Lonchura striata: one gene and its partners. The protein of the gene in region 3 interacts with the protein of the main gene of each other region in a pairwise test. Links are inferred from orthologs where the notes say so. Each region holds a gene or a part of one and is shown on either strand. Other genes may lie near its edges. The genes, in order: YWHAQ, TRIO, CDC5L and DISC1.

What was found.
Region 1: the proteins of CDC5L (region 3) and YWHAQ interact in a two-hybrid assay, tested with the Homo sapiens proteins (2 studies listed by BioGRID and IntAct). The link is inferred for Lonchura striata from reciprocal best matches to the Homo sapiens genes CDC5L and YWHAQ.
Region 2: the proteins of CDC5L (region 3) and TRIO interact in a two-hybrid assay, tested with the Homo sapiens proteins (2 studies listed by BioGRID and IntAct). The link is inferred for Lonchura striata from reciprocal best matches to the Homo sapiens genes CDC5L and TRIO.
Region 4: the proteins of CDC5L (region 3) and DISC1 interact in a two-hybrid assay, tested with the Homo sapiens proteins (2 studies listed by BioGRID and IntAct). The link is inferred for Lonchura striata from reciprocal best matches to the Homo sapiens genes CDC5L and DISC1.

The regions. Positions count from the first base shown.
Region 1 is NC_134605.1:98,813,290-98,821,066, forward strand, and holds the start of YWHAQ (14-3-3 protein theta), read right to left. Parts: upstream 3,099-7,777; 5' UTR 2,954-3,098; intron 1,935-2,953; 5' UTR 1,850-1,934; coding exon 1,556-1,849; intron 1-1,555. UniProt on the Homo sapiens protein: Adapter protein implicated in the regulation of a large spectrum of both general and specialized signaling pathways. Binds to a large number of partners, usually by recognition of a phosphoserine or phosphothreonine motif.
Region 2 is NC_134603.1:73,726,391-73,733,885, reverse strand, and holds the start of TRIO (triple functional domain protein), read right to left. Parts: upstream 3,097-7,495; 5' UTR 2,689-3,096; coding exon 2,574-2,688; intron 1-2,573. UniProt on the Homo sapiens protein: Guanine nucleotide exchange factor (GEF) for RHOA and RAC1 GTPases. Involved in coordinating actin remodeling, which is necessary for cell migration and growth. Plays a key role in the regulation of neurite outgrowth and lamellipodia formation.
Region 3 is NC_134605.1:109,086,134-109,094,059, forward strand, and holds the start of CDC5L (cell division cycle 5-like protein), read right to left. Parts: upstream 3,102-7,926; 5' UTR 2,809-3,101; coding exon 2,764-2,808; intron 1-2,763. Other genes in the region: uncharacterized protein LOC110468941, read right to left, coding at 7,331-7,926.
Region 4 is NC_134605.1:43,738,048-43,745,888, reverse strand, and holds the start of DISC1 (disrupted in schizophrenia 1 protein), read right to left. Parts: upstream 3,099-7,841; 5' UTR 3,072-3,098; coding exon 2,996-3,071; intron 2,163-2,995; exon of another isoform or gene 2,080-2,162; intron 1-2,079. UniProt on the Homo sapiens protein: Involved in the regulation of multiple aspects of embryonic and adult neurogenesis. Required for neural progenitor proliferation in the ventrical/subventrical zone during embryonic brain development and in the adult dentate gyrus of the hippocampus.

The DNA of each region.
Region 1 (7,777 bases), about 10 Mb from region 3:
AAGATGGTACAACCAGTATGAGATTTTATACATCACCTTCTCCAAGGCACTCAATTTGGTAAAAGGACAAAGGGAGATTAAGAAATCTGAAGTGAGAGCTTTATATGGAGGTCCCAAGAAGTTAGTTCTGAAGTGGGGCACTGAGTAGAGAAAGAAGAGTGACACAAATGCTGGCACTTCAACACAGGCGTCCAGTGAAACTCTTGTCAGAGGAAGTAGGAATCCTACAGAAGTATTACTTTCACAAAGGTGAAAGTCTTACAATTTCAATACACCTTTTGAAACAATTTTGTTCTTGCGGAAGGCATGGGCTCAAATGTGTTAAGGAATTAACTGATTCATAAAGCTAATAAATATGAAAATTATTTTCAAAGAAAGACAACTCACTTTGATTAAAAAAGAACAAACCTAGATGGCAGCATACAAGGAAGCATATAGGTATTTTCAGCACAGTCCAAAGAAGCATTCCCTTGTATGTGAGCCAAAACACTTAATCAAGAAGAAAATCAGTTACTTCCAAACCAGTCACCTTTAAATTCACATCTCCTAAACAAATCTAGAATAAGTTTACCTCAAAATTGTTTATTTCCTTATAGACTTGCTTCCTCCTGGTCTCACATTAGCAATACTAGACACCAGAAAAAGGTAACTAAGAGGAGCAAATCAACCACTGAAGATGATCTGCCCACAGAATTACTATTGCATTATGCACGTGCAGTTTTTTTCAGATATCATTCCCTGGTCATGTAAAACTGGGTCCAGCAGCCTCCACACTGCAGACACACATCTCATGAGCTCCCACTGCAGTGCACTACAGTTTTCCTACCAACAGCACCTGGAATTCTGCTGCTTCCACAGAAATGTACTTCTGTGTTTGATGCATGCTTAGGATGTCATTCTGGTCTTTACACCTTAGTTTTACATTGCTCCGTAATTACTGCAAAACCATCTCAAAGCTACCCTGAGAAGTCAGCTTGCATCTAACAAAGACAATTTCTACATGTCACTTTCTCCCCTTCAATATAGATGTCTAAGTTTGAAAAGTTAAATTTATGTTAAAGCATTCATCAAAATGTCTCTTGAAGACCCCTTTAGAGTATTTCTCTTCATCAGGAAGTAAACAAAATGCATACATGGCTTCAATGTTTGTAGCAAGTTATTAGCTGATCTAAATAAAGGGCTTTCCACATTTTCAGTTTATCTTATGAATATGTTTACTAACCACAGCACAGAGGCTGTATCTCTGCAATTACCTGGTGAAATACTCCATATGGATCTCTCCACCCAAAAACGTACCTCATAGACACTCAAAATTAACTATCTCAAATACCTCTACAAATATAGCGTCAACAGCATAGTGCAGCTGATCCTCCTCATTGCAGTGACCCACGTAAGGGTTGCAGAAGTTACGGTACTGACCTCACCTACCCCAGCACAACACTGCATGATATGCCCCAAGCAAGTTCCCAATGCTTCCTCCAGTACAGCAGCACACTTAAACACTGTATTTTTTTACCTTAAACAAAATATAAGAAAAAACAAAGTCCTGACTTACCAGCACCGTGGTGCAGATGGACCTGAGCTCAGATTCCACCTTCTCCCGATAGTCCTTGATAAGCTGCATCTTCTTGTCACTGGTGTCTGTCTTCTGCTCGATGCTGGAGATGACCCTCCAGGCCGAGCGCCGCCCCCCCACCACGTTCTTGTAGGCCACGGAGAGCAGGTTGCGCTCCTCGTTGGACAGCTCGGCACCTTGCTCCGTTACTGCCTTCATGCAGGTGGCCATGTCATCGTAGCGCTCGGCTTGCTCAGCCAGCTTGGCTTTCTGGATCAACTCGGTCTTATCCATGGTGGCTGGCAGTGGGACAAGAGCAGTGCAGTAGCAGAAGAAGCTGGAGATGTCACACTATCAGGACGAGAATGCACCTCAAAACCTGACAGAAAGAAGACAGCAACCATGATGCCAGGATAAACACCACCAAACACGATCCTGCAGCACCCACTGCAACCCAGCAAAAACGAGAATTACTTTGAGCCTTGCCGTCCCTTCCCCATCTCCAGGTGCTCCTCCTGGACAGACGGACTGCAACATCCTGCCTTTCCATGCAAGGCTACGGGGACGCGCCCCAAGGGTCCACCCCTCGGGAAACCACGACCTAGAAACCCAGGCGGAGAAGTCGCACTCGGTCGGTGCTATACAAGGGACGGCAGCCAGCCGCCCAAGCAGTGGCAACAGCTGTTTTTCCATCAGAAAAAAGTCATCATCCCGCTTTTCCTTCGTGCCCTACGTGAGCATATTAATATGCCCCGTAACTCGTGGAATGATTCCTGGTTACCACCCCGCCTAGGGCCCTCGCCCAAATCCCTGCCTCCGTGTGCTACCAGTCCTGCGGGCGAGCACCGGAGGCAGGCGGGCATGAATGCCAGGACTGGCGGGAACAAATACATAATAAAAGCAGCAAGACGAGCTCGGCGCCGGAGAACACAGCAGGGGTTAAACCCCTCCAGGACCCGCCTCCCTGGGGGCGAGCGGGGCCGGGGCCGCGAGGCCGGCGAGGGGGCCCTGGGCGCTTCTCCTTCCCGCGGCGGGGCGCGGTGGACCCGGGCCTCCCTGTCGGCCTCGGCGGCCGCCGATCCGGACCCCGGCGCGGCGGGGGCCCCGCGCTGCCGGCGGGGAGCGCGGCGGCTCCCGGTACACGGCGGCGGGTGCGGTCTCGGGCTCAGCAGCCGCATCTCCTGCGCCGGCGGGGGGCGCGGGGGCGGCCGGCGGAGTCCCCGTGGCGACGGGGCGGGAAGAGGAAGCGGCGGCGGGTGCGAAATGGCGGCGCTGGATGCACCTCCCGCTCCCCGGGGCCGCCGAGCTCTCCACGCCGCGATCACAAAATGGAGGACGCGGCGGGAGGAAGCAGCGGAGCGGGGCCCATCCCGACGCCGGCCGCGACCCCGCGCTCACCTGGGTCCGCCGGGCTGTGGGGCCGGGCCGCACCCGGTCGGTGCCGCGCTCGGGGCTGTGGCGGAGAGAAAGAGCCGCTCCCGTCTCGGCCGAGCCAGCGCTGAAGGGCGTTGGCGCGCGCACAAACCCGCTGCGCGGCCCGCGCCCACGCGGCCAATCGCGGCCCGGCCTGCGCGCCCGGCCCCGCCCCCCCGCGCGCCGCCGGCCAATCAGAGAGGAGCGCGCCGCCGCGGGGGCGAGCGCGGGCAGGGCGCGAGCTCGGCTGGGCCCGTGGGCTGCGGCTGGGGCCACGGGGTTTCCTCCAATGAGATCCAGGGTGGGGTGACGTCACTGTCGCCATGGTGACGCCGCTACACCCCCCTTCGCCCCCCCCCGCCGCCGCTCCCCCCGCTCGGCACCCGGGACCGGGAAGGGGAAGGGAGCGGGGATGGGGGAGGCGGCGGGAGGGCCCCGGCCGGGGCGGTGCCCCTGCCGGCGGCGGGGCGGGAGCGGGGGGCGAGGCGGTGCCCGCGGCCGCACCACGGCGGCTGTTGTTCCGCCCGCGGGCGGCCGCGCCCTCGGGCCGCCGCTCCCCGCCGCGCCGGCGGCAGCTCCCGCAGGAGCGGGCGGCGAGCCCGGCCCTGCCCGGCCGGCCCCGCGGCGGCTCGGGCGCGGCAGGGCCGGGAGCGGCCGTGCGGTCCGTCCGTCCGGAGCGGGCCGGGCCGAGTCCGGGCGCTGCCGCCGCCGCCGGGCGCCGCGGGCCGGCGGGGCCCAGGACGGGCACTGCGGGGCTTCGTGTTCCCGAGTCCGTGTTCCCGCAGCCCCACGTGGCTGAAGATAGCATTTCCCACAAGCTCTCAGTATATTTGCTTGTTTTCATCCTCTTGATTTCACCTTAATTCTCTAGAGGTCAGCCCGTGCTATGACATACAGTAGTGGCATGTTACCCACCCGTGTCTGGATAAAGGTAAGGCACCTACGGCCACATGTAGGTCCAGAACGTTGGCTGAGTAGATGCATGACTTGTGTGCACTCACGCTGACTGAGCCTCAGAGGATGTGCTAAGGACACGGTGGGTTTGTGTTGTTGGTATTGCCGTACAAAACAGGTCAAATGCATCTGGTGAATCAGGGCTCAGGCGAGGTCAGGTCCTCCAATGTCTGCAGTACCAGGTCTGTGTGTCAAGAGATGACATTTCTCACCTTTCTTTTCAGCATCACCAAATATAGTCATACTGAGGAATTTCAACATCCAGATGGGATGAGGAATTCTCTGAATCAATCCCAGGATGTTACTGTCTCAACTTATAAAGCTTTTGGTATGTGTTTGGACTAGTACTAGGACTATGTGTATGGAAATTTGAGCTATACTATGAACAAGACACTTTTCTTTGTCATTTGAGTTTGGGAAACATTGATTTATTAAAAAAAAATAGAACTAATGATAAAAATATTTTCAAATTTAATGAAACTGAGAAACCACTCTGGATCTCCCTCGGAAGTTACCTCTTGGCAACTTGCTATAGTTTTAGGATGCCCATTTATTCTTGTTAGTAGGATATGTTTGCAATTACATTAGTCCCTTATAATTATCTTCATTTACATGAAGTAAAGACCAAAGCTGACCAATAGTGTAACAAAACCTTTTTTATTAACACCATGTCTTTATCAACTAACCATTCCACTTTTAAGGCACAGGTGAGTGTGTTTTATTTGAGGAAAGACACTGACCTGATTGAGGCTACTTCCTTCACTGCTTCACCTCAAAGAAAAGGGGAAGATATTGAGAATTACCCTCATAACATTTAGTTCCTGTCTCTCTTCCACCTATTGAGAGGGTGCATTAAGAAATACAGAACTAAGTCAAGAGTTGGGAAGTACTAAGCAGAGCAGTTTGCACAGAGCAGTGTGATGGATGCAGACTGAATTCCATGTGTGATGCAGAGTCTGATGTATGTGTGCATAGCAGCTGTGTGGCCTGTGTGTGTCTGGCTTCAAACCCCCTCTGTGCTCCTTGCTTTTCAGGCTTGGGTCTTGTGGGCTAACATGCCATAAGATTGCCCAGCAATGTAGATTTTAATCATACAGCCATAAGCTTATTTCCCCAGAAGAATCCTATTGCTGATTAGGAATGTTGTCCTTTGGGGAGCTTTTCAGAGAAGGGACTTGAAGGATATGTTGTGTTTAGATTAGAAAAATGAAGAGGAGATTTTATATTTTCTCAAAAGAGTAAATGGCATGGATGTAGAATTGTTTTTTAAATTGAAGACAAATGTGTGTAAAATGGTCAGTAATGAATTTAGACTGTGACTTAGAAGATTTGGAATTTTCAGAGCAATGAGGCCATGAGACAGTTTCCCTGTGCTGAGGGCAGGAAGCCCATTCGCTTAGAAAGCAGAGTCTGATGAGTTTATAAAAGTGCTTATGTGATTGCACATAAGCAGTTGCCTGGGATAGCAGGAGAGTAAGCTCCAGAAGCTTTCCAAATTTGTGTTTCTTTTATTGCTTATTACATATTCTTATACATGCTTAGTCCATGTGTACTTTAATGTACAGTTTACTGCATAACATTATCCTTTATTGAATTAAAAAACCTAATTTCCTGTAGAGCATTTCAGGAGTGCTATAATCTTACTGACCATTAAGGACTTTACCCTTGTCACCACTATGAAATGGCTGGCCTTATTCTGTCTTGGGTGCAGGAAATTAAAAATATGAACACTTCTGGTTACCTATATGAAGAAATCTAAGCTTAATTTCCCAGGTGGTAAATATCGTATCAAAGACTTTCATTTCCAGGGTGGTAGATGCTTTATGCTACTTTGCATGTAGAGAAAGTCCACCTCCCACTGACTTCAGATGCACCTACTCACATTCAGCATCTTAGCAGCTCACACCACAAATTACTCAACTGGGGTGTGGGAGAAAAATAAAGAATATATATAATGCAAATTCCTCAGACTTACATGTGAACTTTACAACAGAGTTAGAAGACAGTTTTCTAGAGCCTCTGTTATTTGCTATAAGACTTTTCTTGCTTTTTCTCAGCAGAAACAACCCCAATCAAATGCTTTCCATCTCTACAGCAAAGGAGGTTGAGATGGTACAGTCAGGAACTTCCTTCCTGCTGTCTGTACAACAGGTACACAACAGCTCAAAGTGGCATCTCACAAAGCAAACATACAGCACTGTGAATGAAGCTAAACAAGCAAAGAACCCCCAAAAGCAGACTTCTGTCACGGGATTTACCTAGAATACCACTGAACAACAGTGTGAGTGAGCCTTTTGGATACGCAGCATGGTCCTGAACTATGCAAAACAGTCCTGTCATGAGTAACAGTAGAAAAACTTACTCATTTTGTGTCCTGTCTTGAGTGGGATGGAGATCCTGTACAATTAGTCTCGTGTCTGTTCACTTAATGGCAAGAGAACATATTTTATGTTTATTAAGGCCCTGTGTTCTGGTGGTTAAGGTCTCTTTTGCTCCCATACTCTTCCTGTAATCTTCTCCTTATTATCAGCCCCCTAATTTACATCCCATCTCATCCCCTTCTGATTCCTGTCTTCTGCTCAACTCCTGTCTGTACACTTGTTCTCCTGCTGTCATTCTTTCTGTATCTGTACCCTCTGCTCTTCCTTTGTTCCAACTTTTACTAAAACTTTGGGGGACAGAAGAAGACTTGCTTAGGGGGCCTAGACATTTAGTAGTCCTTTATGAGAGCTGGAGTTTTAAGGAAATTCTGCAGGTAAATTTTAATATGTCATCTGAGGGTATTAAAATTGAGTTTTTTCTTTATGTTTTCCATGTTTGGTTAGTTTTCCATGAAACCAGCATAAGATTTAACTTCCATTTGCCCAACTTCTTGAAGAATTTAAAGGTGCCACTTGGTTGCAGGTGTTGGAATTTTTTGATAAGCAAATTGTAATAAAGTGTGTCATCCTGGACAAAACTGGAATTCTCTCTGATTTTCTCTGTGAGAAATAGCTAAACCATTCTAGCTAAAACATGAAAAACATTTTAAGTGTGTTCATATAGACTGATGTGTATTTAAGCCTTTGGAGAGGAACTGAACCAGTGGCCATGACTCTTCTAGATAAAACTTAAATTTACTTAAATTTGTTTATCTTGCACTTGGTTGGGGGACTTAGGAATGAAAGGATAAGATCTCTTGTTATCCTTGTATTTTTTTCTCATATCTAAAAAGTGCTAGAGCGTAGCATGAGTGCTCTTACATTAAAAATAGAAAGCCATTCATGTAAGAGGCTAAAGCATCATCAGAGTTCAGTTAAGTGACAAATAAATGTGAGTCAGTGGGATCAAGCTCTTTAAAAACTAGCCTCATTCCATATTCTGTCTGTTCTGTGCTGTGAGGAGGCCACAGGACTTCTTAAATTTTTGAAAATACTTGCATGGCTTGCTCATTGCTGGTGTAAACTAATTGCTCCAGAGAACAAGCCTCTGAAGGTGTTGATGAATGTGGAGCTATTGCTGGGTGCTGTTTTATGCAAACAGTTTTCTTCTGCTGGGAGGAGAGGAATCAAGGAGTACTTGGGTTAGGATGATGACTGTCAGTGTGGGAGGGTGGTACTGAACCTCAGTTTTGCTGCTGAGTGCCATTTTTCTGGTTTAAGTGGCTTCAAGATAAGTGTATCTCCATGCTGGGAGCAGTTTGGTCATTGCTTGTAAAGGATGGTATTGATTAATATTGATACCTGCTGCAAGGTAAATGTTGCTGTAGTCTGATGTGCTGAGGCAGCTACTGATCATGGTTGATAGGAGTGTCTCAGCTTTTGTCTGACACTCTCTTCCCTCCTACCATTTCAGTAACTGCTGTTAGATTCCATG
Region 2 (7,495 bases), on a different chromosome or scaffold from region 3:
GGACAGAAGGAAAGCCAATAACCCCACTTGGCAGCTCTACTGACCAATTTAACCAACCCAAGATTAGAACTGATTGTTTAGGCAGGCTTTTTGTTGTTGTTTTTTTTTTTTTCTTTTCCCTCCTGGAAAACACTGCAATATTTTTACTCATTTTCTCTTTTAAATAACAGCTAGAGCTTTGCTAATATTCTCTGCAAGTGACAGGAAAAAAGAAACATTTGTCATTGTAAATTCTGTAAAGAGAAAAATATTTTGTCTGCTCCTAAATGCGCTAAAGTTTTTTCCTTGCTCATTGATCTCTGCGCCCTTTGTGTTCCACTGGAAAAAAAAAAAAAAAGTGCCTGTTGTTCAAACAAAGGGAAGCACCAGAGATCTCTTAATAGACCCTCTCCTTATAGAAGAGTGGATCATGCACAGAGGCAGAATTCAAAGAGCTCTTCTCAATGCCAAACACACATAGGAGATGCCAGAACATTTTCCAGTGTATGTTAGAGCCCAGGCTGGACAAGATAACCTTCACACATAAATATGGAAATGAGAATGCCAGTTGTCAAATATGATCTAAGAGTTTTTTGATAAGCATGTCCTTCTACTTTAAGATTTTCAGATGTTTCAAGACTGAGCTCAATGCAACTTCTCTGTTATCAGAAGTTATCAGCATCAGAAGTGATCACTGCACCACTTGTGAGCTTACTAGCTGTAGCATCCCTCAACCCACACATAAATGCGGAAGTTGATTATTAATACAGCTGGCAGGGTCTTCCAAAACTGCAAGATTACTACACAAGCACCCATTTGTAACTACACTAGGCAGACTACTGTGTGTAAGCCTACTGTTTTAATTTGTCATTTTGCTTTCATCGGGATTTCTTCCTGGGAACGATAAAGCTCAGTCCTTTTTCCATTATAAAACCCACCAAGGCCAGCATCCTGACAAGGAGTTTCACACTCCATGGCTTGTCGTGTTAAACAGGTTGCCTCGGGAGCATCAAGCCCTCCAGAGGGGACACAGCCCCCTGTTGGACCCTCTATCCACATAAATGCAGCTTCCAGCCCTGCTTCAAGGATGCCTGCTAGAAATCACACTTCCTCCTTCACCCTCATGAAATCAAACACACCGAACGCAAGTAGCACTGATTACGCCGCTCCCCACTTCCCTCGCGGACTTTCCTTAAAAACCCAGTGAACACAGATTTTCCTACTATTATTACTACTGCCATAATTATTTTTTATACACGAAATCGGCCAACCCCCTCATCTTTCCCGCGGTGAGTCCGCATTTCCCTTGCTCGCCGCTCCTTTTTAGGCACCCAAAAAGAGCAAATGCCCAGCCCAGCCCGGCTGCTCCGCCCGGAGCGATGGCCGGGGGCTGCCCTGGGGGCGCGGAGCCGCCGGAGGAGCGGACGGAGGGGAGGAGCCGCCGCCGCTCGGGGGGAGCAGCAGGCACGGGGGGAGGCTCCGTAGCCGCCGCCGCCCAGGCTGCCGGCAGGGCTCCGTCCCCGCCGACCGGCGGTCCGTGCGGCCCGGGCAGTGCTACCTTCCCCGCCGCTATGCCCCGGGGGACAGGGTCTCGGCGGCGGGCGCAGCCGTCCTTCCCGCCCGGTTGCGTGCCGAGAGTAAACACCGAGGGAAAAGGCAGCCTCCATTTTTTTTCATCCCGGCAGCCTGTCAACAGGCTCCCACCCTTCCCCTCCCGATCCTCCGCGCCGAGCCCGGCTTCCCAGCCCGACAGCGCCCGAGAGCCGCTGCCTCCCCGCCTCAGCCGAGGGAGCGACACCCCTTAACACGAGCTTCGCTTTTTGTCTGCCTCTTTTGGTTCTCCTTAGAACATCCACTTTCCGTGCCGCTTCTCCCATCCCTGCCCTGCGCCGCCACCCAGCAGCACACCACCGGAGGAGCGCTGCCTTTTATAGCGGTGTCATCCTTGCTTGCTCGCCGGCCTCCCCGGGGGGTCCGGCTGGCACAACCGGCTCCCCGCAGCCCTGCGGCCCCGCGCACCCTTTCCGCCCCTCCGACACCATGGACTTCCCGGATCGGAGCAGCTCCTCTACCCGCCTCCCGCCCCGCAACCCCCAGCGGGACATTTTCGGGGGACTCGGGTCCCTGGCGCTGGGTGGTGCCGCCCGGCCCCGGTGACGCGCCCGCTACCGGGCCGGCACGGGAGGCAGAATCGCACCTGTCACCGGCGACACCGCCCCGGGGCGGCAGCAGCCCCGCACCCTCCCGGCCGGGCCGCACCGCCGCCGCCTCCGTTTTCACGCCCCGGTTCCGCCGGCGAGGGTGGCATCCCGCCCGCAAGTTGCTGTACCTAAGCCCCACTGTCCTCGGCACGGGACGGGGGGTGCTCGGCTCTCTTCCCTGCGTCCTCCCCAAGGAACAGACGGGCAGTGCCGAGGCGGCCCCGGCGGCGAGAAGCAGACGAGCCTTCCCCGAGGCCACCTGACAAAGCCGGCTGCCCTGTCCTCCTTTCCCGGCTCCGGGGGAAAGACGTCGCCTCCCCAGGGCCACCTTTCGCCTCTACTTCCAGCCGCTGGCCCTACTTCCCTGTTCCCCCAGGACAGGACCGCACTCACCGGATCGGAAGAACGCCGCGATGTCCGCTGAGTCCTTGGCCGCCTCCTCGGCCCCTTCCCCCGCGCCGCTGCCGGCCGTGCTGGCGGCGGAGGTGGCGGTAGCGGCACTGCTCATGGCTGCTGCTGCTGCTGCGTGTGCCGGCGGCGGTGGTTTTACCGGGCGAGACCCGCCACCGACCCCGCCGCCCCCTCCGCAGATCCCGGCTTCACCTCCGGGCGGGAGCGGCCGTCAGGGCGGCAGCCGGATCGGGCGAGCAATGCGGGGCGGCGGCGGGCGGCCGCAGCGAGCGCAGGGACATATGAAGGTATGTGCGGAATGGCAGCTCCGGGAGCGCCCACCCCCCGCAGCCACCTAGGAGGCGGCGTGTGCATGCAGGGAGTCCGGGCGGCAGCCGGAGCGCAGACAATCGCGGGAGGAGGAGGAGGAGGAGGAGGAGAAGAAGGAGGAGGAGAGCGACGACGACGACGACGGCATGGGAAGGGCCAGCGGTCCGCGCACAGAGCAGCCAGTGGGCGGAGAAAAAAAAAAAAAAAAGGAACGTTTCCAACCTTTTTTTTTTTTTCCCTTTTCTCTTTTCTTTTCTTTTTTTTTTTTTTTTTTTTTTAAAGGAGCGAGTAGTGATCCAGAGGAGCAGCACCTGCCCTAGCCACCGCGAAGCCAGAGACCGCAGCAACCGCCGTCCTCCATTTTGACTGGGTGGAGGAAGAGGGTGGGAAGGGGGAGTCGGGAAAGGAAGCGAGTCCCCGCCCGAGGAACAAGGGCGGTGGAGCAGGGAGCGGGGGGAGCTCGGGAGTCTCCGGCTGCGTCCGGCACCGGTCGGGATGGGGCGGGGCCGGGCGGCGCAGTCCGTCACGCTCCCGCCGGGCCCGCGCCCCGCGGCTGGGCCGCAGCGCCCGGGGCTGCCCGGCGGCGCCGCGGCCCGCTCGGGTTTCTGCGTTTGTCCTTCGGGTTTGGGGTCTCTTTTTGTTTGGTTGGGGTTTTTTTTTAGGTGCTTCCGGCTAACCTTCGCCCTACTGCCAGCTCGCCGGTACGCGAAGGTCGGAGTGGAAGTCCAAAAAAAAAAAAAAAAAAAAAAATTAACCAAAAGGAACCTAAGCAAATGCATTCCGTCTGGCCCGGGGCCACGGGCGAGCGGCGGGAGCGTGGGAAGCGGCGCGTGTCCCATGCTGCTGCCTGCCCTCCCTGGGCTCCCGGGGCCTCCGAGGAGCCGTCCTCGGGGAGAGACCCCCTGCCCGCGGTCGGAAGGAGCCTGGCTTACCTCTGGAAAACACAGAGAAAAAGGGATGCGTAGATTTCTTTAAAAAGGTGCCTTTAAAAGGTTTCCGTTACATTGCTGTCTGTATTGTCGATATTTTTTACTTCTGTTACCACGGGGACACGTCAAAAGATTTTATGATGTGGACCGGTTCAATTAATAGCAAATAAGCAAACAGCTCATGATAGGGAGGTTATGATGTGCCTCACCACCATCCTGCTTTTCATGTTCAGGAAGTATAAGTTCGTGTCCAGATAAGGTTGAGGAGAGGGTGTCAGAGCAGGAATCATAGCAGTTGCACAGATTGATGAATTCGAGTTACGCGTCTCAAATGCTTATGGCAAATGGTAAATCGATAGCACACTTGAAATGCAGATGTACTGCTTCAGGAATTAAACTGCGAACCTTTGGTAAGTATTAAAAGGAAGGTAAGTTCAAGAGAAATGTGGTTCATAGAATATCCTGAGTTGGAAGTGTGTTGCAAGGATCATCCTATGATCCTGCACAGGATCACCCCCCGAGAACTCCACATGTGCCTGAGAACATTGTCCAAACACTTCTTCAACTCCAGCAGGCTGTGGGTTATGAACACCTCCCTGGGGAGCCTGTTCCAGTGCCCAAACAGCCTCTGGGAGAAAAATCATTTACGAATGCCCAACCTAAACCTCCCCTGGCACAGCTTCATGTCCTTCCCTTGGAAGGAACCTCAGTCTGGACGGGTTGTGTACTTTCCATTTCCAGTTAGTTGCTCTTCTAGCACACTGTACAAATTCTAAGTGTGCACTAAAAAGGCAAGGTTAATTTGAACACTTCTGAAGGATGTGTGACTCAAGTTTTTCCCTTCCTTTGTCCCCTCCATCTGCTGAATTGCAAGAGATGCTGGGTTTGCTTTTTTCTTAGTACATGGGTGCCCTGAGCCATGTTCCCCACTACAGGAGCCTTTCATCACTGTGAAAGTGATTGAGAAGAAGTTGTAATCAACAACGAAGGTGGCCCTCACAGAAAAATCCTTCAAGAGCCAAAAAATGCTCATAGCTCATATCCTTTGCATGATTCATAAGATTATAGTAATACATACATGCTAATGTTCAGGATGCAATATTTATTGAAGGGTAAGTTAAAGGAAAGAGACAAATATAGGAAAATGACAAAGTTACTTAACACTCTAATAAAACAAGGATTTAATTAACAGTTATGCACCTTAAGTATCAAATACCAGATTTAATATTTTGACATCAGGAAATTAAGTTTCTTAGTTTGGTTCTTCTTCGCCATTTTAGGCTTCAAACAAAAACAAACTAGATATGAATTGTCTATATGGAGAATGTCCCACATTGGAAATTTGTGTGAATTTGAAAGCCTGTCATTAGGAAATAGCCATATTCTCCTCAATTCCTGCATTGCTTATCTCAGTTTTTGTCAGCCTGCAAGTGTTTTTTCACCAATTGCAATGGTAAATGCAGGAATGGAAAAAATATTCATGGTGTAAAACATACTTTAGCGGTAATGTGACCTGTGAAATACCAATAGTGTTAAGGCACAGATTCAAGTTAGAGTTTTAGATTGTATACTAGGAGTTTTAAATATTAATGGTGTTCAAGTATTGTGCTTAATTTCTCTATTTTATGTGTGTATATAAAGCATTTAATTTTATGTAAGCATATTCAAAAAAATTTATACCCCAATACAATAAATGCCCAAAGAAAAGTGTTGTTTCATTTTAATGCCCTTTATTTTTACTTGTGTTGTGTCTAACTGTGCTTGAATGGTCACTCCGAAATCAGAATGCCAAACACAAAAACTTTATTCCCGTCAAAGAGGTGTCTTGTGACGGGAAGAGCTTGCCCAGAGCCTAGCCTTGTGTTTCCAGGCTGAGAAGTGTCACATGTCACTTCATGTTTCATCCCTAAAAGAATTTGCAGACTTGATATTTCTTGAGTTCTTTTCCTGCAGTATTTGCTGCCCATTTGATCAAGAAAACAAAGAACAGAGATTCCCCTATTTCTATAAGACATTAATGAAAGCAGGACAAGCTTGATTTAAAAATCACTTATATTTACAAGCTTCAGAGAAGTAAACTAGAAACTCACTAGTTTGGACAAGCTAGGAGACAGGAGATGGTATTGACCTGGGACTGTCAATCGTAATTGTCTTCCTGCTTAGAAAAAGATATTTCAACTGTGAAAAAAAAAATCAAAAATGCACGCCTACAAAACCCAGCCAACAACTAGATTTTTACAGTGGAGTTATCTTCTTGTAGCTGTTTTACAAGCTTCACTATTCATTTTGTAAACAAAAACAGAACATAGAGGGTAGTGTGGGGACAAGCCTTCTACATGGAAAACACTCAAAGGGAAAATGCATATGGACTTCAGCCCCGCCAGCCTCTAAGAACTGTTTCTTGCAACCTTTACTTTTCTGCAGCAGGGTTTTGGGGGATTCAAACCTATAAAACAAGTTATAAACACAACAAGTAATAGAGAAGGCCATATCCGGTGCTGCTGTGCTTTTAGGATGATAAGACTTATTTCAAATTTGCAGCAGTTAAGGAAAGCAATCGAGTTATTAATGTGCACCACCTTGGAGTTGCTGTCTGGTTTCTGATCTAAATGGTGTTTGCATTATAGCAACATTCATCAATTTCAAATTGTTCTCAGAGCACATGGTGTATCTCTTCATCTGTAGACAGGCACTGAGGCATTTTCCAACCGTTATTGTTATTATTTCCCTCTTTTCCACAGAAGCATCTAAGTCTTTTTAAAAGGTTGTCTTGAACAGTATAAAGTTTGTGTTCCACTTCCTTATCCTATAAAATTAAGTTCTCATTTCATTGTATGAGTCCTGGCAGCTTTTGGAACTTTGTTTATTCGTAATTTTTTCTATTTTTCTCCAAAAATATATTTTTTTAGCAGATGATATACCTATCACCTATGTAAAGTATTGTCAGTCTAATTTAAAATATTTTGTCCATACTCTCCCTGGTACAACCTGGCATGTACAAGTTTGAGAAGTGAGCCATGGTAATCTCATTAAGTTTAGCAAGACAAAGTACAAGGTGCTGCTGTTCAGTATCAACCCAGGCTGGGGATGAACAGATCCAGAGCAACCCTGCCCAGAAGGACCTGGGAGTGCTGGAGAGGCTGGACATGACCCATCAATGTGCTCTCACAGCCCAGAAATTCAACTGTGTCCTGGGCTGCATGCAAAGCAGCATGGGCAGCAGGGCCAGGGAGGGGATTCTGCCCCTGTGCTCTGTTCTGCTCTGCTGAGACCCACCTGGAGTGCTGTATCCAGATCTGGCGTCCCAGCATAAGAAGGACATGGCCTGTCAGAGTGAGTATAGAGGAGGGATACAATGATTATTAGAGGGGTGGAGCACCTCTCCTATGAGAAAAGGCTGAGAGAGTTGTGTTTGTTCAGCCTGGGAAAGAAAAGGCTTCACATAACCTAAATGGGGCCTTCCAACACCTGAAAGAAGCCCATAAGAAAGATGGAGAGACACTTTTTACAGGAGCAGAGTGACAGGACAAAGGGGAGTGGTTTCAAACTTCAACAAGAATAGATTTAGATTAGATATGAGGAAGGAATTCTTTACTGTAAGGATGGTGAGACACTGGAACAGGCTGGCCATGGAAGTCATTGATACTCCATCCCTGGAAGTGTTTA
Region 3 (7,926 bases):
AAATAAGGATTTGTATTTCAAAGGTCAATGAAATCTGTAAAATTAAATAAAATAGACACATAAATTATTGTTCCAAACTTCATATACCTAACAGAATTTCCCAAATTATTATTTTCAATGCTCTCTAATGCACTGGTGTTTAAAGGCTCTGTATGTCTTCACTGAAGGACAGCAACAGAGGTAAGGAAGTGTTTGGTAAGACATCACAATACGAAAAAAAAAGTAGAATTGGCAGGCATCTCTGGCTGCCTTGTTTAAACAATACCATAAAATTATCTATTTTTCATATTTTAATGCAATTGGAATAAAAATGGAATAGATCGGCTTGGGAGCCAGGTTGTTCATATACAACAAAATGTGCACTGAGTTTGATCACAAGCCAGAAGTGCCAATTCTCGGTCCATCCATCCATCAATCCTTCTCTCCCTTCCTTGATAGATGGGTTCATTATTTCTGGTTTATTCAGAGGAAGTGGTATTTTAAATACATGAAAGCTGTTCTTACAGCCCTGTCAACCACAGATGTCCCTCTCCTGTACCCAGTGAATGTTCAGTGAGTCTCACACTATCTCCACTGACACCACCCAGAGAACAACAGCTTTAACTGTGCGCTTATGATCAGCTCTTGATCTGGCTTGAGCTGCTGCAGGCAACAATTCATGTGACTACTGTTCTGACATAAATAATAAATCCTCTCCTGTGTGTTTTTTTTTTAAACTTACTTGGTGCTCTATGGCACACAGGAGCTGTACTGGTGACATTAACAGGCTTTTTTTGCATGTAATGGGTCATTTTATGAATGATTTGGTATCACCTGATTTCCCTTTCTCTGTCTTTAATGCTGTATGTATAATCAAAATGTTAAAAAAAAAATCCAACACCTCTTTTATCTCTGGTACACAAAGCCTGGTGAACTGAGGATCTATTTGGCCACTGAAACAGCTCCTCAGGGCAGTAGCCACAGCCTTAAGCCTGGCAGAGTTCAAGCAGCATTTGGACAATGCTCTCAGGCACAGGGTGGGATTGCTGGGGATGTTGTGTGCAGGAGCCAGACTTGATGGTCCTCGTGGGTCCCTTCCCACCCAGGATATTCTGTGATTCCATTTAATGCACCACTCCTCACCAAAATGTATCAAGTATGGAAGAATGGGGTGAAGATATGAATTTTCCTGTCCTCTGCTGATCCCAAATTTAGCTGCTTCCTGGCACATCACTGATATAGCACAGGTGTTTAAAAGCACATACAGCACATTTTATCTTCTATTACTTTTTCCTCACTGCTTCCTGGAACCACGTACATGCCTGGTGCTCACACTATGCAGTGAGAATTCTGTATTTTACAGTGCTAGGTACATCCTTTTGCTTTAAACATGCATCTAATAAAACTGACATCCTTGATTTCCCATGTTATTGATTTCTTTTTCATGACCACTTGTGGTTCTGAAAGCTTGTGACAGCAAAATTGGAGGGGATTGTTCTTTTTTGGAACAGTAATTTCTGTGCACAGGATTCCTGGGGCTGCAGATGAAGAGCCCACACACATTGACAAGAAACAGACTGAAGCTGCACCAGGGGTTTAGATTAGTTATTAGGATGTTTTTTTTCTTCCCATGGAAATGGTGACAGGCTGCTCAGGGCAATACTGGAGTCACCATTCCTGGAACTGATTAAAAACCCATGTAGATGTAGCATTTAAGGACAGGTTAAATGGTGTACATGGTGGTGGTGCTGGGTTGATGGTGGCCACTTGGTGTTCTTAAGCTTTTTCCAATCCTAAAACTTGTATGACTCTGCCTTTGCCATTTTCGTATTTTTAAATATCTTTAAGGGCAAGAGATTCCTGCTGCTTCATTCCCACAGAGCACAAGGAACGTGCCTATGCAGCACAAGTCACACTCTAGCCTGCGAGCGGGACATCTCCAAGCACTGCACAGCCCCTGCTTCCTCTCCAGTAGCAGTGGGAACAGTTCTCTGGGGCATAAGGACACAACACACACATTGCTGAGCTTCCCAATCTGGTGAACAGCCCGAGGGAAAAACAGCACCAATGTGAACTCGTGACCTTTGCCCACTGAAGCAGCAGGAACAAGGCACAGGTTACTGGGGAATGCAGCCCAACAGAGAGCCAGGGATCACAGAATCGGTTAGGTTGGAAAAGGCCTCTCAGATCACTGAGCTTAATCAACATCTTATCACCACCATGTCAACGAGACCACAGCACTCAGTGCCACATCCAGTCTTTCCTTAAACTGGAAGAACTTAACCTTCAGAGACAGTGACTCCATCAGCTCCCTGGGCAGCTCATTCCAATACTCAATCACCCTTTCCTGTGAAGAATTCTTCCTAACGTCCAACCTAAACCTCTCCTGGTGCACTTTGAGGCCATGTCCTCTTGTCCTGTTGCCTGGGAGCAGAGCCTGACCCCCATCCCGCTGCGCCCTCCTGTCGGGGAGTGGTGGAGAGGCAGAAGATCCATCTCTGAGCCTCCTTTTCTGCAGGCTGAGTCCGTCCAGCTCCCTCAGCTGTTCCTCGTGAGCCCTGTGCTCCGTTCCCTTCCCTGCGCTGGCCCCTGCCGAGCCCAGACCCGCTGATGTCCGGGCACAGCGCTGCACAGCCCCGACCCCACCGCGGCACCCCCAACACTGAGCCCCCGCGCAGGCGCACCACGACACCCGCCCCTCCCGCGCCTGCGCACCAGCGAGGGTCCCCCCCCCACCTGCCCGGCCCTGAGGGGGACGAGGGCTCGAACCCCGCCGAGTCTCACCTCGGTGTTCCGCCACACGCCGCCTTTAATCATAATCCGCGGCATCTTGGCGGCGAATGGAGGCGGGGACGGACCCCTGGAGCGAGAGAATGGAGAGGGAGCGGAAGCGCCACTGGCGTCAGCGGGGCCGGCCGAGACGGCGCACGGTCGCCCTCAGCGGCGGCGGGTGCCGAGGGCGAGGGAAGCGAGGCCAGCTGTCAAAAAAGCTGCTCTGTCAGAAAAGCGGGGAGCGGGTCGGGCGGCTTTCCCAGGGAAGCGGGACTGGCGGATTTTGCAATGGAAGTGAGGCCGCTACTCCTCCAGGGAAGCGGGTCCGGCCGCGCCGCGCATGCGCAGCCCCCGCGTGGCCCGAGGCGGCCCTTCGCGCTAGCGCCCCCTGCCGGCCGGAGGAGCACACGGCGGAGGAGCCCGGCCGTCATTAAACTCTTCAAATTGCCTCGTCAAGGGACGCAGGTGAGGGAGGAAAGGGACAGTGGAAGGAAATCACATTTCCCCAGCGTTCCCAAGGTATTTTATTAATTTCAGGAAATAGACCCATGCTTTTTCCTGAAATTAATAACTTCTTGGTTGTGAGGGTGGTGAGGCCTTGGCAAAGGCTGCCCAGAGAAGCTGTGGCTGCCCCATCCCTGGTGGTGTTCAAGGCCAGGTTGGACAGGGCTTGGAGCAGCCTGGGATCGTGGAAGTTGTCCATGCCCATGGCAAGGGGTAGAATGAGATAATCTTTAAGGTGGCGATGCAAAACTATTCTATGATTCTACAAGAGAGCAACATTGATGGTGCATTTGCATGTTAACACTCACATACACACTAAAGGAAATGTATACAAGGTACATACCTGAATTTGGGGAATTTTCATAGTGAGGTACTCATGTCACTCTCAGCAGGTGAAGGGTTGAGTCTCAAGGAGTAGGGATCTCGGCTCAGGATCTGTCACTGTCCCTCAGCTGTGGCCCTCCAGGCATCTCCAGCCTGGAGCTGTGTGGCTCAGAGAAAGCCACACTCAGAGGGAGGTGCTGCTCCCAGCCTGCTGCAGTCTGGAGGGCTCAGAGGCTCTCAAATACCACTGCTTAGAGAGTCACAACAGACTTGACTTTGCTCATAGCAATTTTCCACCCTGGCTGCAACTCAGATTGGTAACTTTCTCTGAAAGTTCAAAACCAAAAACGTTGTTCCACCTGGGTGGTTATTTGGATAAGAAAAATAAGTTCCCAAAGGCTCTTAAAACCCACGGAGCACTTCAGCTGACACAAGTTCCTGGGAGCAGACAGTGTTTTGGATAAGCTCAAGAGGAGCTCGGCTCAGCTTGTCAAGGTCAAGCCCTAACGAGCATTTCTGAGACCACAGTGTGGCCCAAACAGGAGGATGCACCACCACACCATACAGATCTGACTCACTATTGTTCATTTACATCACCTCCAGTTTAACTTGTATTCATTTAATTAGCAGATGCACAGCAGGTAAAATGACAGCCTTTTACTCAATTTGTCTTGTTATATTTCCCTGTTTTGTCCAAATTCAGGATATATTAATGGAGCAAATTATGAAACTTTTTTGGTTTAAATAGAAAACTTGTGATTTAGGAAAGGCTTTGATTTTTGTTTAAACTGCAGGAATAAAAAATACTACACTTCTAGCTACCAAAAAAAAAAAAAAAAAAAACCCAAACCAAAAAAAACTACCAACAACAGCCCATGTCTTCTTTGCAACTGAATATGCCTCAACCTGTAAATTTCATTGACTTAGCAGACTGAGAATACCTTTGAAACCCCAAAAATCCAATGCAGCACATAAGGAACAGAAAGCAACATCAGGAGTCATTGAAGTGCTTATTTTTATTAGAGGCAGTGACTGGGAATAATTAACTTTTATAAGATCAATCTCTTAACTAAAAATACCTTCTTGTTATTACTTAAAACGAAGTAACTCAGATTTACAAACTCTTTCAAAAATTTACTGCAGTTATCCACCTAAACCAGGCTCTTTTGATCATCATTGTACACTATGCTTTTCAACAGTGTTCAATCGTATTTAGCCCTTCTAGTCTCATCTGATATAGAGGCTTACAATTCCTTCAGTATTTTTGTTTTCTCTTTGTACTGCTCTTTTCAAATAAATGATCAGAATTGTAATGTAACACATGTAAAAACATCTCCAAGTTTGAGTAATCATTAAGATTTCCTAGAAATGCTTTTCTTTCTTAATACAGGATAACATTCTTTCTCACAACTGGATTAGGTGGCTCCAAGGTCTAAATCACTTATCTGTAACCACCATGGTTCAAGCACAGATACTTGTCTGACTTTACTGAAGCTGCAAAGAACTGGATCACTTGAACATCTTTGCTGATATGGCCTTAAATAAATCTGTCCATGAGTTTCATTATTGGAAAATTGCCTTCCAAATTGCAGAATGGCTGGACGGGTTCTGGAAGACAAGACCCTAGAAGATGCCCTATTCAGGAAATTAATCTACAGGAGAAGCCTAACACACAGGCAAGATTCACAGATATTATGCTACAAGGGTTATTCATGTATTTGGAAAGAATGCTGTAGCTGTTCTCATTTACAATATTTAGTATGCTTGACAGATATTTGCAATTCAGAATATATAAGTGAAATAGAGAAAAAATTTAACATGCTAGAAATCCATTTGGATTCGGGTAAAATGTGCCACTTGAAATTATTAGTAGCTTGCTAGCATAAGTAAAATATGCTGTTTAGTCTGGTAGCTCTGCAGCACTAGTAAAAACTGCCCCAGCTGAGGAGAAAGAATGCGAATTTCCAACTGAAGAGATAAGAGAGGCTCCTCGAACTTTGAAACAGACAAGGCAGACTCACCCAAGAGTTCTTTCTGTACTTTCTGATTAAAAAAAAAGCTGCAAGGGTAACTAGCTGCAAGAGTAATGCAAAATCAGTAGAATGAATATACATAAACCTATGGTGAAACTATGCATATGTATACTAGTAAAGAAGAATAAAAAGGGATTGAGAATTCTCAAGGGCACACGTGTCTTTTGAAGGGGAATGATCCCCATAATGCAATAACACCACCAGATTTTCAACCTTTACAAGTTGTGAAGCTTGAGTTTTTATGCCAATTCCTAAGTTTATCAATGTATGTATAGACATGCATGGAAATATACACACATTCTACTACAGAATTCTGTAATCCCGGACACCCAGAGCTGGCTGTCCAGGATTACATCCAGATGGCTTTTCAGTATCTGACAAGAAGGGAACTCCACTGCATCTCTGGACAGCCCTTCCCAACCTGTCTCCTATGATACCAGAAAGCCTCTACAAGATATTATCTGTATTTCTACAGAAAGACACACATCCAGAAGCAGAAAAAAAAAAAAAAGGCACTGAATCCCATACTTACATTCTCTCTAAATTAAACCACAGGTTTGTTCTGCTGCTCCATGGACTGAGCTGTAGCATTGGGACAGTTTGCACCAGGCCTTTGCTGTTTTATTTCCTCACACAAGGGGATAACACACTGTTAATAAAAGCACTTAACCACACTCAAGAGTTCCTAGCACTGGGTAACTCCAAAACAAACAAAGATTTGTCTAGATTTGAATATAAATTGGAAGCAGCATCCATCTGGGTTCACCATACACTGGACCACCTGCTGTGTAGTGTACTAGCTCTTATACACGGTATTTTAGACTAAGAGTAAAGTTCTTAAAATAATTTTAGTTTCAGATACTGCTAAGGTTTTTAATGAAACTAAACAGCAACTGCTAACTGAAGTTATTTGAAAAGCATATAATTTAACAATAACAACCAACACAGTAACTACCAACCTGAGAAAAGGTAAGGCATTTCATACTAGATTAACATTGGACATTCAAATAAAATTGAAGATTTAAAGATTCCCAGTATCATAAAATAGATGTTTCTGGACATTACCATTTCTGCCAGATTACTCAAAAAATTATCAAAATTACAGACAACAGCTTAATAAGCATCTTATACATACAGATACATGTAAAACATTTTAATGTCACAATTACCCAGTGAGGACATGCATATTTTGTTTCTGTAATTTGGAGAGATACTATTTTTTTCCTCTTACAAGTATTGCAAAATCACCTGGGAGTAAAGGAGGCAACTTTCAGCAGATGGGAGGTAGCATTTAGCCTCCAGATACACCAATAGTTTTCACATGAAAAGTTATTACTACAAAATATGTTTTTCCTTCCCTCCCGTTACACATTCTTTCAGTTAGTAAAGAGTTTTTCTTACTAAATTTTTACAAGAAAATAAGTGGTGCAGAATAACTCCTTAAACAAAAATGAACACTGGCCAAAATAACTGACCTCTACTGAAGCAGTTACTCAGGGATGAAAAAGTGTCTCCAAGATCTCCAGCACAGCCTGTGCTAGAATTGATGTTCCCACAAACACCTGCAGCAAACCAGTACCCCAAGTTTCACTCTCTTGACCAAAATGCTGGATGCATCCATTACCAACCACTGTTCTGGGCACAGCAAAGGAACATAAAACCATGAAGAAATTCAGGCCATGCAAACCTGGCCAAAACCAAGCATCAACTTCCAATTCTCAACCTGACATCCCAACCTTGTGCTGCTGCTTATGCTTCTCCAGCAGTTTTTTGGTGGGCAGCACCACATTACACTCTGCACACCTGTACTTCTTTTTGTGTGTTTTTATGTGCCTTTGGAAAGCGTGTTTATCCACCGTGGAATACCTGCATCTCCTGCAGTGCAGCCTGAGGTGGGTCAGGAAGTGGCGCCTGAGGTGGCTGGAGGTGCGGAAAGCCAGGGAGCACTGCCCACACTGGAACGGCTTCTCCCCCGTGTGGATCCTCAGGTGGAGCTTCAGGTTCCCATTGTGGGCTGTGCAATAGCCACACTCCTCACACCTGTATGTCTTGACAGGCAGCTCCTTGTGCTCGTAGAGGCAGCCAGGAGAGGAGGTTCCCTCCCCGGTGTGCGAAGCCAGGTGCTGCTTCAAGGACAGCCATTTGTTGGTTGAGTAGTCACAGCTCATGCACTTGAAATGCCCCAAGTTCAAATGTGTGAGTCTGTGCCTTTTGAGGTGACTGGAGGTACGGAACTTCTTCTGACAAACAGGACAGCTGTAGGGCTTCTCACCTGTGTGAGTTCTGATGTGGAGCTCCAGGTTGCTTAAAATAC
Region 4 (7,841 bases), about 65 Mb from region 3:
CTCACCCCTCTGCCTGCAGACTTCAGATTGCTCATTAAGCCACTTCACATTCTCAGCATCAATAAACAGGGAGGTAACTCCATGTCAATAGCTAATTCAATTTCCATACAGAAAACTCATGTTTTGCAAACAAAGTATATCCATAGTGGATCCTAGCTTTCTCAGCATCAGTAGCTTGCAGGCTTGATATTTCTCCCTGAAAGCATTTTGCAGGTAAGCTTTTAATGGAATCCACACCTGTATGGTAAAGGAGAAGAAAAAAATTACATGGTGTGTTAAATAGTTAACACTACACAGAATTAAGGAAACACCTTCAAGAAAGGATACTACCATGCTTAAAATAGGAACAGCAGCCTTTGTTCAGTGCCAGAGGGCCAAGTTTTTCCTCGTGTGACTGCTGGTTTACAAAGGGCACATTCATTCCGAATACATAAGGGTTTTGCAGCAGTTTTCCTCCAAGAATATTGAACAGTATTACAACATACCCTGGGTTCAATCCTAATCTAAGCGACACGGCATGAAAGGGCCGTTTTCCGGAAAGAGACACAAGATACTAAGGATGAACTTGGAAATCACTATGGCAACTCCGCAGGTCCCTTCCCCTTCACCTTGGGGGCCAATACTCCAAAGGAGGTAAGAAAACCACTTTCCGCAGGAATCATTAATACACAATATGGCCAAAAGCAGGAAAGGTCACAGCCTGTCTCCGCTCAGTTAGAAAGAGGGGTTCGCTCAAGGAAAGACAAGGTTAAAATGGGAAAAGAAAAAACCATAACTCCCGAGGAGCGCTCGTGAGGTGCCACACACTCGAGTAAATCGCGCTTGAAAGGTCAGCTGGTTCAGTAGCTGTCAAAGGCCCAAGCTACGGCGAGCAAAATAAGCCTAACCAAGTGTGCCTAATTTGTGAACAAAGTCAGAATTAACCTTTAGGGTTTTCGCTTTTGTCAGTACAAAACATTGTTTGCAGTGCTTTCTGTCCACCTGTTCATCACAATTAATTTATCCTGGTGCTAATAAATCCCCTTTTCTTACACAAACCCACTACAATTCCACCAGAAGCAGCTTAGGCCCAAAGTTTTGACTTCACTTTACTGAAGAGAACAAAGGATGATTTATCTTAATTTAAAGAGGGAGGAAGCCAGTGGCAATACAATACCTGCCTCTGACTGTTTTTTAGAGTGCTGCTGCACTATAACCTTCAATGTTGTGCATGAGAATGTGCCATTTTTGGTGCCCAATCTCAAAGAGAGCTATAAAAAAAATTGATAATTCTGATAGTATCAAATACTGGGAAGGAAAAAAAAGACATATTAGATATGGTCGTAACCTCAAGTATACTAAACATTGCACATAAACATTTGGTGGTTCTTGTACATTCATTTCCCATGATCCCAATATTTTAAGTAATCACAAATCTCTAACCTCAGCCATTTTTTTTTCTTTTAAAACAAATATTTCTGTTAAACACCCCTACTTTGCAGTTTCCTAAGGGCCTAGAAGCCCTATGAATAGGGCTTCAACTGGAAAACTGTCAATGCCTTCCCAGAGTGAACCACAACAATTTCACCTTCAGCAATGAGATGGGGAAACATACAACATCATTAAAGGGACTTTAGTATTTAAACACCAAGAAATTTTTTAATAAGTAGAACTCCTCCCGTTTTTAGGAGCTACTCTAAGGCCAATAGCAAATTAGCAAGTAAATGAACCAATACAAAAGGATAAAACAAAAGATAATGCATCCTAGGGGACTTCACTAATTTCTCTGAAAACCACCATTACCTCTAATTGGCAGCAGCACTTGCTGCTATACATTCTGCAACATATTTTATGAAAACCTTTATTATAAAACCTTCTCTGCAGAACTTTAAAATGCTAGCATAATTAATTCAAAAGCTTAGCAAGAAGTTACTCAAGCACGTGTACACAAAGATTAATGTGGATTACCAAAACAGGAATGAGCCATTTTGTATTAAACTGATGGCAAGGATGACTGTAGTGTTTGCAGAAAAGTCTTGGTGGACTCGTGGAGCTGGGAGAACCTCGTACCCCAAATAACCCAAAAGGCAGCAGACATACCTAGTGAGAAATACACCTTTCTTTCCCACTTGTCCTGAGAAAGGTGAAGTGTTTTTTTTTCCAGAATTTCCCAGGGGCTCCAGCCTTTTGCCAGCACCACTGTTGATAAGGAGGGCAGCCCTAGCTTTGACCAGCTGATTGCTGCTGCTCTAAGAAAAAAGGAGAGCAGTTCATCCACCTTATAGGTGATGGTCTTGTAAACTTCATTTCTTTATAAAAGCATATACACACAGAGTGTCCCCTGAGAAGGAAGTTTTCTTTTTCTTCCTTAAGCCAAGACTGTAGACATAACGTGGGTGACTTTTCGAGGAGCACCATTACTTCCCACTTTGTAGTTGGTTATTTAAAAAAATTAAACAAATAAACCATAGCAAATAAACCATCGATGTCTTCCTATCACTATAACTGCGGGCTGAAGTGAAATCAAAGCATCTTATTTTTTGAGTTAAAAAACGATAGCTACGTTATCTCAAAGTCACAAGACCCTTTATTTTACCCTCTCTTAGACTGCATTAACTGTGAAATAAAGCCAACACCACCAGGGGCTTAAAAGATTAAAAAAAAAAAAACAAAAAAAAAAACTAAAGAAATTCTAAAACTTTCAGACTGTGAAATGAAAGATCCGGGTTGTTGTTTTTGTTTTTTTACCGAGAAGGATTAAAAAAAAAAAAAAAAAAGTACATTTTCAGTACATTTTCCCCATACCCAACACGAGGGCGACTCCCCAGAGCTGCTGCTGCTGCTCCCAGCCCGGGGGCAGCATCCAGCCGAGCCGCGCGGTCCCTGCAGCGGGGAGCAGCGCTGCCGGCCCGGCCCCGGCAGGGGCACCCACGGCCCCGCGCGTCCGGGGCTCCTGCGGAGCTCGGCGGCCGGACCCCGCCGCCTCCCGCCTCCCGCGGGGCCCGGCCCCGCTCACCTGCGCCCGCCGCGTCCCCGCCGCCGCCGCGGCGCCGCCTGTCGGTACCGCCCGGCCCGGGCTGCGGCCGCCACATCCCGCCCGGCCCGCAGCCGGCGGAAAGCGGCCCCGGCCCGGCCACTCCCCGCCGGGGGCGGGCTCGAGGCAGCTCCGCCGCCCCGGGGAAGGAGAGGGCGGCGGGCGGGACCGGCTCCGGCTCCGGAGGGCGGCGCGGCGCGGTGCGGTGCGGCGCGGCTGGTCGCACGCACAGCCCCAGGGAGCCCGGTCCTCCAGGCTCCCGCCCGCGCAGCGGTCTCAGGCTGTGCAGGCTCTGTTCCCGCAGGGCAAAGATGGGCGGGAGAGGAAACGGGGAATCACAGAATCGGTCAGATTCTGACCACAGCGGTCCAGGCTCCCTGCTCAAGCAGGGTCATCGTAGAGAACATGGCACAGAATTGCGTCCAGATGGTTCTTGAGTATCCCAGTGAGGGAGACTTCACAACGTCTTCGCACAATCTGTTCCTGTGCCCGCAGAGTGAAGTAGTTCTTCCTGATACTCAAGTGGAATTTCCTGTGCTTTGGTTTCGGCCCATTGCTTCTTGTCCTATCACTCGGCACCACCGAGAAGAACCTGGCTCTGTCCTCTTGGCACCCTCCCTTCAGATACTTAAAAACATGGATGAATTGTCCCCTCTCTGTTATCTCTCTTGAGGCTGAACAGGTTCAGCTCCCTCAGCCTCTCTCAGCCTCTCTCTGGAGCATCATAGGGGAGATGCTCCAGTCCCTTACTCATCTCTGTATCCCTCCACTGATATGCTCCAGGAGCTTCATGTTTTTCTTGTACTGAGGAGCCCAGAACTGGACACAACACTCCAGATGCGCCTCCCCAGGGCTCATTAGAGGGGCAGGATACCCTCCCTTGACCTGCTGGCAATATTCTTCCTAATGCATCCCAGGATTCCATCAGTCTTCTTGTCCATGTGGGTGTGGGCATGTCTCACGAACAGCTTGTTGTCCACCAGGACCTTCAGGTCCTTCTCCATGAGCTCAGATGGAGTTTCTTTCCATCAGCCCCTCACCCATACCTTGGGTTATTCACTCCAAGTGAAAGACACAACCTATGCTACACATAAAAATATATGGCTTCCATCTCACAGGTCCCAGCATAACAACAAATATATGTACCAAATATACTCTATACCAAACATACTCTTGGAAAAGAATTTATTTTCAGGTTTAGGCATACTAGGCATTGCTTGGTCTCAGAGCCATCATGTGACTGTGAGCCCTACTCTGGCACTGCTTTGCATGTCAGATACTGAATTTAGCAAGGCATGTGTGCAGTTATTATTGCATTCATTGGCTTGAAGTAGCCATAAACATCTTGCAAGCAGGACTTAAAGGGATGCTAAAAAAGTTTGCAGATGATCCAAAATTGGGAGGAGCTGTCAACTCCCTTGAAGGCTGGAAAGCCCTGCAGAGAGACCGTGACAAATCAGAGGGCCGGGCAATCACCAACCATATGAAGTTCAACCAGGGAAAGTGCTGTACTCCACACCTGGGATGGAGCAACCCTGGATGTATGGACAGACTGGGGAATTAGGTGCTGGAAGGCAATGCCATGGAAAGGGACCTGGAGGTCCTGGTTGATGACAAGTTGAACATGAGCCAGCAGTCTTGTGTGAGTGCTGGGCACTACAATAAAACAATGATATAAAATGCTTAGAGAGTGTCCAGAGGAGAGCAACAACGATGATGAAGGTCCTTGAGGGGAAGACATATGAGGAGTGGCTGAGGACACTTTGTTCAGCCTGGAGAAAAGGAGGCTGAAGGGAGACCTCACTGCAGCTACAGCTCCCTTGTGAGGGGAAGAGGAGGAACAGGCACTGATCTCTTCTCTGTGGTGACAGTGACAGGACATGAGGGAATGGCCTGAAGTTGTGTCAGGGGAGGTTTAGGCTGAATATTAGGAAAAAATTCTTCACCAAGAGGGTCTTTGGGCACCGGAACAGACTCCCCAGGGAAGTGGTCACAGCATCAGCATGACAGAGTTCAAGAAGCATTTGGACAACACTCTCAGGCACATGATGTGATTCTTGGGACTGTCCTGTGCAGGGCCAGAAGCTGGACTTGATGACCCTTGTAGGTCCCTTCCAACTCAGAATATTGTGTGATATTGTGAATATTATGTATGTATTTTCACTGTTTTTGTAGGGCTCCAGATAATTTATGTCACAGAGCTTTTTCATTTTGTTGAGAGGTACCAACTTTTATATATATATATGTATGGGGTTTTGTTGGTACAGAGGCAATGACGAGAATCAGGGATGTTTTAGCTGAGCAGTGCTTACACTGCTTCTTGAACTGCCCTGCCAGTGAGCAGGCTGGGGTATACAAGAAGATGGGAAGGGACACAGCTGGGACACCCTGACAACAACCCAAGGGATATTCCAAACCATATGTCCACATGATGTCATGCCCAACAATAACAGTTGGGGGAAGGAGGAGGAAGAGAGTACATTCAAATTTATGGCATTTTTCTTCCAAATTCACTGTTATGCATGATGTAGCCTTGGTTTCCTGGGGATGACTGAATGCCTGCCTGCCCACCCATGGGAAGTGGTAAAGAATTCCTTGTTACATATCATTGTAATAACAGGCATTTCTGCTAAAATCCCCTTTCCTGTTTTGTAATTTAGGTAAGTTTAGTCCTCCACCATTTCCAGTGTATCTTCTCCTCCCTAGTTAACACATATATCATCTTTTGCTATCCCTGGTATTTCTCTACTGACAGTTTTATTTCTATTGTTATTCTTAATTATGAGCTTTATACAAGCTTATGAGTACCCACTGACTACAGCTTTTATTAACTTTGCTAAAGTGGTACCTGCTTCACTCACAGATCATCATATCCACCATATTAATCATGTACATGAAATCAATGTTTTCCAGACGGCCTCCATCCATCCTAGCCTTCAAGAATGCTTCTTCCTTCTCAGATGCAGGAAATGCAATTGTAAGTTAACTACACAAGGAAGTTTTCACAACATTCAGAAAAGCTGCTAAAAAAACCGGGTTTATATAACAACTGTCATAATACTGATTTTCTCTAGTTTGAGTCCATTAACTAAGAAATACAGGACATGCTAAGAGAGTTTTGACCTCTTGCTCCAGTCTGTGCCCTTCCTGACTTGTGAGAGAAGACAACAAGCAGCTGTGCCTTACATGCCAAAAATAGCCACCCATCCTTCTTCATCCTTCAGCCTTGCTGCAGTGCATCTGATTCAGGTGATGTCAGTGCTGGTTCCCATCATTCAGAAAGAAACTGGTTGTAAAAGGCAGCTCTGTGGGTGCAGACAAAGGGCCCATCTAGCACAGCCTTGCTCCCAGCTCAAAGCCAGGGCAGCTCTCTCAGCAAGAGCAGGAACAAGGAAGAGCAGGAACAAGACAGCACCCACAGCACTTCCCCTTTGGACTGTGCCACCCTCCTCTGATCAATGTGTGCTCAGGGGGTTCCTCAGCTCAGTGAGGTTTGTTGAGTCAGTAGCCTGCTGTGGTTCCCAGGCTCTCCAAGGGTTTGCCCAGCTCCACCTTGAGCCTGCTTCAGCTTTTGACCCACAGAGCATCCACGAGTCAGGGGCTGCCCAAGGCACCAGCTCTTACTCTGAGCCTGGCTATGGCTCCCTGCCGTTGTGAGCTCCTGGATTTTTGTGCTTGAAAAAATATTTTTTCCCAAAGCATCTGTGCCTCCGATGATTTCCTGTGTTAACTCATAATGTAGTCCATTTTCCAAACTGTGCAGTGCTAAACTAGTCAGACTGATCTAGTACACAGTCCCTCTATAATTTTTTTCTGTTTCTGCTTTCTGGGGTGAAGGGACTAAGTAAGGTTTGCTATGGATTTCTGCAGTGGCATCTTCATGTTTCCAGTTCTGTTCTGTGTTCCTTCACAAATGGTCTGTAACATTTGATTGAGTGCAGCCACACACTTAACTGATGTTTTCTGATATGTAATTAGTGCCACAGTTTCCTTCTCAGTGGCGGTGGTAATTTCAGAGCTTTTCATCTTATATGAGAGGCTAGGAATTTTTCTTCCTGGTAGGTGCTGATTCAATTCACACAGTGAATTTCATCTGTGGTTTGATTGCCCACAAGGCAACCTCACGAGGTCCAAGTTCTTTGCATCCAGCTCTTGTTCATGCTGCTTCAAGTAACTCAGCATCATCAGCAGACTTGTTTCAGATGCTTATATGGTGAACAGGAGGGGGTCAAGAGACACTAGTCATCACAAAGCTACCAAAAGGTACATAGTCTCAAAACAAATATTTAAAAGAAACAGGGCATGAGATGTACTCAGGAAAAAAAAACCCTGCTAGTGAGTTATTTGCATTTGTTCTGAATCTACTGGGAGACTTAAAGTTTATCCCAAACCTCACCACTTCTGCTTCAGGTGAGCTTGCCTTATCTCGTGTGTACTCACATCAGCGTGTATATGTAACAAAAAAGTCCCACCACAATAGAATACTCAGCAGACTGTAATTCATTACCTCAGACGACAAGCAGGAGTAGGTGTGAATATGTGTGAGTGTGTACACAGAACATGACATTCTGTTCCTTTATCCAGAAAGGAACTGCTTTTCGACAACCATGATCATTCAATTGCCACATCAGTGGAAAGGAGTTGCAGGGGGATGGAGGATAGTTTTACTGAGAACTTTAAGTATAACTGGAGAAAAAGGTGCAGGTACCCTTCTGAAGCAAATGCTAGTAGGGGAGAATAGTATCCTTGGGTTTTAATGCTGTTTTAATTGTACCCTAACCTAATTATAACCACAACCCAAAGTCTGATCCAAATGTCATAGTGAGAC